Linked DNA regions of Sus scrofa. The protein of the gene in region 2 purifies or fractionates together with the protein of the main gene of each other region. This does not show direct contact. Links are inferred from orthologs where the notes say so. Each region holds a gene or a part of one and is shown on either strand. Other genes may lie near its edges.

The links.
Region 1: the proteins of LSM1 (region 2) and PATL1 purify together in Homo sapiens (co-immunoprecipitation; 3 studies listed by BioGRID and IntAct, with this or other methods). This does not show direct contact. The link is inferred for Sus scrofa from reciprocal best matches to the Homo sapiens genes LSM1 and PATL1.

Annotation. Positions count from the first base shown.
Region 1 is NC_010444.4:11,826,667-11,831,100, reverse strand, and holds the start of PATL1 (protein PAT1 homolog 1), read right to left. Parts: upstream 3,007-4,434; 5' UTR 1,291-3,006; coding exon 1,231-1,290; intron 1,154-1,230; coding exon 1,042-1,153; intron 1-1,041. UniProt on the Homo sapiens protein: RNA-binding protein involved in deadenylation-dependent decapping of mRNAs, leading to the degradation of mRNAs. Acts as a scaffold protein that connects deadenylation and decapping machinery.
Region 2 is NC_010457.5:48,347,109-48,351,624, reverse strand, and holds the start of LSM1 (U6 snRNA-associated Sm-like protein LSm1), read right to left. Parts: upstream 2,973-4,516; 5' UTR 2,577-2,972; coding exon 2,531-2,576; intron 1-2,530. Other genes in the region: BAG4 (BAG family molecular chaperone regulator 4), read left to right, coding at 3,120-3,389. UniProt on the Homo sapiens protein: Plays a role in the degradation of histone mRNAs, the only eukaryotic mRNAs that are not polyadenylated. Probably also part of an LSm subunits-containing complex involved in the general process of mRNA degradation.

The DNA.
Region 1 (4,434 bases), on a different chromosome or scaffold from region 2:
AACTTATTAGCATACTTGCTCTAGGGTCTCTAATTCTCAAACTTTATCATACAAGCTTGCTCCCTGAATCTCCCATTTCAGTAATTATAAGCCTGTGGCCTCTAGCTGACTTTGGTTTTTTAGTTTTTTGATCTTTTCCAACTCCTAGAATATTTATCTATACCCAGGGCTGAGAAAATTTCATTTTTTTTTTTTTTTTTTGTCTTTTGTTGTTGCTATTTCTTGGGCTGCTCCCGAGGCATATGGAGATTCCCATGCTAGGGGTTGAATCGGAGCTGTAGCCACTGGCCTACGCCAGAGCCACAGCAACTTGGGATCCGAGCCGCGTCTGCAACCTACACCACAGCTCACGGCAACGCCGGATCGTTAACCCACTGAGCAAGGGCAGGGACCGAACCTGCAACCTCATGGTTCCTAGTCGGATTCGTTAACCACTGCGCCACGATGGGAACTCCAGAAAATTTCATTTTTGCACAACACCTTTCTAACTTACAAAGACCTCTTACTACCAAATTCCTGGAATAAAATATGTAATTAAATATACTTACTATAGGACAAAAGCAGGGTCAGGCCATATAAAAATTTTCAAACATACATATATGAATCTTAGTTTTCTCCTAATGCACTAGTTTTCCTTAAGTTACGTGTTTCATGAAAAAAAACAAAAAAAACAAAAAACTTCCTTCTCTATCCAGTGTTGCCATGAGCTGTGGTGTGGGTCACAGACGTGGCTTGGTTCCTGTGTTGCCATGGTTGTAGCGTAGGCTGGCAGCTATAGCTCCAATTCGACCTCTAGCCTGGGAACCTCCATGTGCCACAGGTGCGGTCCTAAAAAGACCAAAAAAAAAAAAAAAGTCCTTCTTCTAGGATTATTTTAAGCCTTTATAAAATGTCCACTTGTCTAACCATTTGAATTTCTTATAGTGTCAACTTAGAACGATAGATCATAAAGCTGGAAAAGACAAGGCTTAGAAAACACCAGATTTTCTAAGTGAGGCAAAAAGAGACCAGAGGAAGACAAAAGTACTTAATATCGCTTACCAACTGCACCTGACCCAAATGTATCATCATTGAATTGATCAATCTCTTCATCTTCCTCTCCCAGCCCCTGAAACGCATCTTCATCTTCATCCAGAGGACAATCCTCCAAAGACTTTAAGAGAGAGAGAGAGACTGATAATTCGTGAAGTTCACAACCTCACTTAAAAAATGTTCTAAAAATGTTCTTACCTTCCCAATCAACACAATAGCTTCATTATGACTTTTTGTACAGATGGCATTTTTTTCCATCCCCCAATTTTCCCGACATTGGAAGATTTGCAAATCGTTTCTTTCAGCTTCTCTTTCCTATTCCTTATTTCATTTAACCTCTTCCCCCAAATTTCCATTTCTCTTTTCAGCAAGAATCTAATAATAGCATTTCCTCATGCAACCAAGAAATTAGGCCTGTAACTTCCTTTCCATCACTGGTTACAATAATGACAAATGAAAGCAAACACTTTACATTTTGCTAGAGTTTTACATCTATTTTTCAATGAAATTCTTATCTTCCCCATATTCATGTCATCTTTTCAACCCTTTTATTATTCCCTTTTGAAGCTTTCTCATCATTTTTCCTCTTCCTTCTTTCTACAGGCCCAAAACTGGTGATAAAACAGAAAGCTAAGATTTCAATCACAATTAAGTAAACTCTTGAAAGGCCGGGATGTGGCAAGTTTAAGTTCTGTCTCAACTCTGACAAGTGATATCAACTTGGGCAAATCACAGCCGTTCTGATGAATTCATTCAATACCTCCTGAGCACCTACTGTGTCTCAGCCTGTATTAAGGCTCTAAGCCACAATCTCTTAGGTGGTAATACAAGGACACCACCACCTGCCTCAGCAAGTAGTGAGGATCAAAGGAGAAAAAGATTGAAGCAAACATTGTGTATTGTTAAACAATGCTAGATATCACTTGGGTATGTTCTACTTTAAACACTCCCCCCCCCATTTCATTTATTTTTCCAAGTTTTCTTTTCTTTGGGGAACTTTGCCCCACCACATCTCAGCATGTCTCTCCATGTTTACATATAGTCAGTTTGATCTCGAGCCATTCCCATCAAATAGCAAGAATACACAGCCCCAATTTTCAAATACTCAGAATCAGAATTCCACACTCTCTGGCAGGCACATTTGTGATAACACCTTGCCGGCTATTTCTCAGCTAGGCTGTTCCCAAAAGAAACGTTAGGCCAAAGGGCCATCTTAGGTCCTTCCAAACTTAGACAAAGCAAGCATGTGCAACTGCATCCACATCAGAGGCAACTTCCAGAAGCATTCCCAAATCACAAAGATCTACTTCACCGAATCACTGCTTTTTAGGTTGGAAAGGGATCGTCTAGACCCACCCTTTCTACAAATCCAGAAACTCTGTCTAGTGATTAGCAGTCGCTAAAGGTCATACAGAGACTCAGTGGTAGCGTCATAACTCTGTTGCTGTATTCCAGGGACCATCACGAACCCCCAGTTTCCCTCCATTCGCCCAGAAAAAACTTCTGCTGGACACGCCCCTTCCCCACTCGGAGCTCTCATCAGTAAACAGTCTTCCGCCCCAGTCAAAGGGCAAGTGCAGGCCCGGGTGACCTGACGGTTGCCTGCGAGTAAGGGGCTATGTGTAATTAATGCGAGATGATAGTTCTGGGTCTTAGGCGGGAAATGCGTCCCTGGGCTTTACCCTGTGGCTCTTCCTTAAGCCTTAAGTGCCACCGGGTGGGTGCAAGGCTCTCAATGCCGAGCCCCACCGGGGGTACGGTGGGGTGGGGGGTGGTTGGTTACCGCACTTAACGGGCCCTCCCCACCCCCAAACAGAGGTCAACTCTCCTCAGTAGCAACTGATAGGACAGTCCCGCCCCCACGAAGCCAGCTCACAGCCCTTGGACTAAACCCGCGACCCCAGAGCCCACACACTCTGCTCGGTCCTGCCGGCCCCTCCGCCCCCCCTTTTCCCCCCGAGGGGCGCGGACCGACGCGCTGAGCGTGAGAGAAACAGAGAGGGGGGCGCGTGCCGGCGGGAGGGAGGGGTCACTTCCGGTCGCAACAGCTCACCTCGTAGCGGAACATTCTTGGGGAGGGGGGGGAGGGAGCGGGGAGGGGAATGGGGGAGGGAGGGAAGAAGCGCTGACTCTCCGGGCTCCTCCGCGCGCGGGTCCTCCACCGGCTCGCGACCCCTGGCCGCCGCCGTACGCCGGAGCGTGCGTGGGAACGTGCGCAGGCGCGCCTCGGGGAGGGCGGCCGCCCCGCTCCGCGCCCGGCGGCGGCGGCTGCGCGGGGACAGATTTGGCGTCCCGCTTCCTAGTCTCGGCGGCGGGAAGGAGGTCCCGTGGCGAGAGACTGCGCACGCGCCACCCGTCGGGGGCTTCCTCGCGATCCGAACCTGTAGCTCCGCCCCCGGCTTCTCTGCGCCCGCCCGACGCTGAGGTTCGAGTCACGAGTTTTCCGTCACCGACGGGGCGGAGAAAAGCCTTGTGATTGTCACAGGATATGGCTTTGGAGAGTCCCAGGCTTAGCTTAGGCTGGGAGAAATGGACATTCCTGGGCACTTTTTCCAGCGTCCAACACCGTCTTCGGGTTGCTTGGCGGTCTTCACGACATACGATAGGCACCGAGTGGAGGGGAAAAAAGTTAAAGTTCAGGTCATCGAAAGGGGCTGAGTTCGTCGCCACTTTCAGCGGCACGTCACCCGCTGAGTCAACAGCAGGTCAGGGCTGTGATTTATGTGTCTCAGAGATGAAGGCTTTTTTTTCCTCTTTTCTTTAAACCGAAGGCTTATTAGGGAGGTTCAACCAGGGAGGTATTTTTAGGGCTCAGGCACATCAAGCGTGTGGAGTGAGGGAGCCAAAAAAGGCAGCACAGCCGTGGGCAGCAAGGTCATCGAGGCTGAGTGCGCCGTAGGGTGACACCACCTCCTTAGAGGATCAGGACCAGAAAAGCATTTGTCCAGGTGCCTTGGCAGCCTGTTTTCAGAAGTCTCTTTGGAGAACTGTTATCTCCGCTAGCCGAACTCACTCTTTCCCCTTGAAGACTAAACTTGGCTACGAAATTTAGTCCTTGCACCACGAATTCTTGTGCAGTTTCGCAACTCCTTTCTCCGGTGTCTTAAAGTGCAGCCTCGCCTGGGAGTGGCATAGAGTAAATTCCTTACGTGGTGGTATGACCGGATTAATCAGAGCCTGAGTAGTGGAAACTTGGATTTGGAAATAGAAGTTCTGGGTGGGAATCAGTGCTTTGCCACTGGGCCGTCAGATTTGGGGCAAGTTACCTAAACGTGTCTGAGCCTTAATTTCTTTGGAAAACGGGATTAATGATACCTGCCTCACAAAGTAGTGGTTCAATGGCATGATGATTCCAGTAGTACTTCTACTGATGGTTGAAGTCTGCCTTATGCCAATCCGGTG
Region 2 (4,516 bases):
ATTTTTGGCCATGGGAAGAGTGACAGAGAAGGGGAGGAGGGGGGAAGTCTATAATTCAGGCAGAAGAAAAAAGAGCTATGTGTCCAAATGTTTGGCTAAAAGGTGTGAAGGGAAATAACAGGAGATGAAGTCAGAAAAAAAGTACTGGGAACAGGCTGAAGTTTGGATGTGACTTCACAGGGAATAAGAAAACACTGAAGATTAAACTGGCAGGAAAGAGAGAACAGTTTTGAGGCTATTCCCAGAGTCTGAGACATGCAGAAGAGACCTGACTCAGGGTAGAGATGGGAAGGGGGAAGATGAGAGGACTAAGACCCTGCAGTGACAAGGGATGGGATCTGTCAATTATCTGTGTTTGTATGTGTGGGTATGTGCGAGAGAATGGGGTGCTGAAGAGATGAGTTAAAGAAGATGCAGGAATTCTGAGTCGTCATGTCAAGAAGGACCATTTACCAAAAGTTGGGACTAAAAGACACAAGCTTAGGGTGGAAGGTAATTAGCTGTTGTGATTCTGCTGGTATCAGGTCGCCTATGTAGAAAGGTCAACTGGCAATTAAAGATGTAAGACTGGGAGGCCAAAAGGTCAGAATCAGAGCAATTTTGGATAAGCCCACAAAGAGGTGATATAATTACTGAAGTCCACGAGAGCTCCTAGAGATATAAACAAACAGACTGTTGATGGAAGCTAAGAACCCATCTATTTTAGGGAATAATAAGAGTTGCAGAGGAGAGAAAATTAAGTACCAGCGTTGGAGAAATCAAGAAAAGTAATGATTCCAGTGGTAACAGAGGGGAGGGAAGAACCTGGAGGACTGCATTTCACAGATGCCTTTTAAGACTGCAGTTTCAGTAGAGTGTTGTCTAAAAAAATCAGATTGCAGGGGTAACAGAGATGGTCTATTGCAGGGAGTCAGGAAACAGACTTAAAATGGGAGATGGCTCAAAAGGTTTGGGGGTAAAGATATGAAAAGGGGGATGGGAATTTGATGGGGAAACACAGTTGAGAAAAAATGTGACAGACAAGAACATACATGAAGGGGAGGACTCTGGGGGAGGGAGAAAGAAAATATGAGAGAAAATACAGGAGGACTGAGGAGAAGAGGAAAATGTATGTGTGTGAAGGGGGCATATGAAATGGTTTTAAACCTTTTGGTAAAGGAGGGGTTTGGAATCTGCAAAAAAAAGGGGTTAGAGGCTTGAGAAAATTATGTTTTTAGTAGAATGGCAGAATGTGTTAAGGCCTCAACTAATTCAGATATATAACAAAAGAGGTGAGGGCAAAAGGGCATCTTCAAACAACAAAAATTGAAGACTTTATCATACATTGCAGATAGGCTTGTACAGTGGCTATTCACATATGAATTTGGTCCAACCTACACTACATTTTCCTTTAATAGCAAAATCACTAATTTGGATTTTAAAAATAATTTCAGATGATAGAGAATATAATCATAAACTCATTCTTTAATTTGCATACTTAGTAACTGTAGAGATTGTTGTAACTTGTTTGGAGCTGTATGCAAACTGTTTTGCAACTACTACAAGTTAATGAGACGGAGTTCCCATTGTGGCTCAGCAGTAATGAAACCAACTAGTATCCATGAAAACTCAGGTTCGATCCTTGATCAGTGGGTTAACGATCTGGTGGTGCGATGAGCTGTGGTGTAGGTCACAGACGTGGCTGGGACCCAGAGTTGCTGTCGCATAGGCCAGCAGCTACAGCTCTGATTCGACCCCTAGCCTGGGAACTTCCACATGCCATGGTGCCGCCCTAAAAAGCAAAACAAGACAGATCACAGGACTGAAACAATTTATTAAAATTTGCTTGAGGAATAATCCACGAATGAGAGTCTGGAAAAGACAGGACAGCTATAGAGGACTAAACTTCTCTTCAGGATGGTGACTAGGAATAAGGTAGGTCGTCTAAATAAAAACCAAAGAAAACTGTCTAACAAGAAAAAAACAAGTTTTTGGTCCTTCTGGAAAAGTCAAGCCTTGTCTGGCAGTAGTCTCTACTATCATAATCTGAAAATCTAAAGACCCTCAACGGTAAAAGAAGACTGCAAAAGGCGACGCAGCATAAAGCCTATGCTTAGTGCTAATTAAGTCCAATTACTGTTGTATTCGTATTTTCGTTTCTCGATGCATCCCTTCCTTAAGAATTCTCATCCATCCACCAGTAACCACCTGGGACTCGAAATCCCGCAGGTGGGAGATGATGGGCCCGGGAGGCGGCAACTTTCATGTTTGGGCCTCAGCAGCCGCATCCCTGAAAAGCAGAAATGGATTCGACAGCTTGCCGGAGGACTGGTGCAGGCTGTAAGAGATAGGATACAGGTAGGAGGCGGGCAAACAGCGTGTCACAAGGCTCCTCCCTCCTGCAAAGGACGCTAACGCCGCACGTCCAGAACAGCACTAAAAAGACACCGCCCCCTGGCCCGGACTCATTCTAGGACCTGCCTCCAAAAAGCATCCTCCCGGCAGGAAGAGTCTCACCCCAGACTTCACTCGGAGGAGCCGAACTACTCACTGTCGATGTCCTCGATGAGGCTAGCGGTGCCGGGCATATAGTTCATTTTGAGTTGAAATGAGGCGCAACGTATAGCGGTGGTGGGCCAACTCGTCCAACACTTCCTTCTTCCTACCGCAGTCGCCGCCTCGGCGGCACCGGGACAAGAACCCGGACCCAGAGTAGCACCTCCGGCCCGGCTTTCAGCCGCCGGGGCCTGCCGGAAACGTCGCCATATTACTCCCACCCACTTCCGGCATCACGTGCCGGTGCTCAGGAAGAGGCGGGACCGTAGTGAGGTCCCGAGGCACCCTTTCCACGTCCTTGACAAGAGGGGAAGAGAAACCTAGATTGGATACGTAGTGGGGAAATGCGTTCTCCCTTTTAAGGTACACGGTGGCGCCCCTTGCTGTCCTGCTTCCTAGACCCCAGAGTCACCGACCTCAGTCCTTCAACTCTCAAGAATCTGAGGCCGAGGGGGCGGGACCCGGCCTGGGATTGGCTGTTGCTGGCCGACCCCCTTCCCTGCGGTCCACTTGCGTTCTCCGGCTGGCGTCTGCGCAATGGACCGGCCGTGGGGGGCGGGAAGCACTTGGGGGCAGTGGAGCCCATGTCGGCCTTGAGGCGCTCGGGCTACGGCCCCGGTGACGGTCCGTCTTATGGCCGCTACTACGGGCCTGGGGGTGGAGATGTGCCCGTGCACCCCCCTCCGCCCATATATCCTCCCCGCCCCGAACCTCCCCAGCCTCCTGTTTCTTGGCGGGTACGCGGGGGCGGCCAGGCTGAGACCACCTGGCCGGGAGAAGGGGGAGGAGGAGATGGCTACTATCCCTCTGGAGGCGTCTGGTCGGAGCCAGGTCGAGCTGGAGGAAGCCACCAGGTAAGCTTTGCGCTGTCTGTCCCGGGGTGGGGTAGGGGACGGCAATAGGGGAGTCTTTGGAGGTGAGGGTTATTGGGTTTGATACACCTCCAAGAGTTCGTAATGAATTGGGTTTCATGTGTTTTCCTTATGGGGGGGTGGAGAGACAGAAACTAGGATCGTAGGTGGGGGCTATGCTTGTTTTCTCTTTGCCTCTTTTTTACTTCAACCATAGTAAATGTCTTAGCATGAAAAAGGGGAAAAAGATCCTGCGCTGACCTGCTGAGCTGAGTAGCGGGCTGCGAATCTCGCCTGGGAACGGTGTTGGGCTGGAGGGATCCGGGTCTGCTTTTCGAGTCCTGACAATTTATCCTGCGTGGCTCATCAGGTCGGCCCTCCCCAAGAAGGGAGGTGGCTGCAGCACCCTCCGTCCCTTAGCAACCCCTCCCCCTGGGAAGGAACGTGAAGGAAGGGGAGGGATCTGGGCGTTTAGCTCTTTGCCCTTTTAACGCTTTGCCCGACATTGAATCACGCATAATCAATGTTGGAAAGCAGCTTTCCGTGGATTGTTTTATTTCATCTTAAGGGTGACTGCCGCGTAAATGTCATCACATCTTCTCTGTTTTACGATGAAAGAACCGTTGACCGTGAAGGGTTAACTCACTCAGTATATTTGAACCTATAATGTCTTGTTCCTTGTAGTCGTGCGGAAATACAGTTGTTTTGTTATGCAGTATGCTTCGCAGAGAATTAATCGTTATCTGGTGGGGGCACTCCTATCCTTTTCTTCAGGAAATGTAACATCCTCATTGGTTGAAAATGTAATAATGAAATTCCCATACATTGCTGGTGGGAACATAAAATGGTTCAGTGCTTTGGAAAACAGTTTGGAAGTCCCTCAAAACGTTAAGCATACTGTTGGGATCTTACTCAGCAAGTCTGCTCCTTGTTATACACCCAAGAGAACTAAAAACATGTCCACGTATAAACTTGTACACGTGAGATTCATAGTAGCATTATTCATAATAGCCAAAAGGGAAAATATTCCAAATGCCCATCAACTGATGGATAGATAAAATCTGACATATTCATACAATGAATGGGAAGAAATGGGAAGAAATGAAGTACCTTCTACAACATGGATGAAC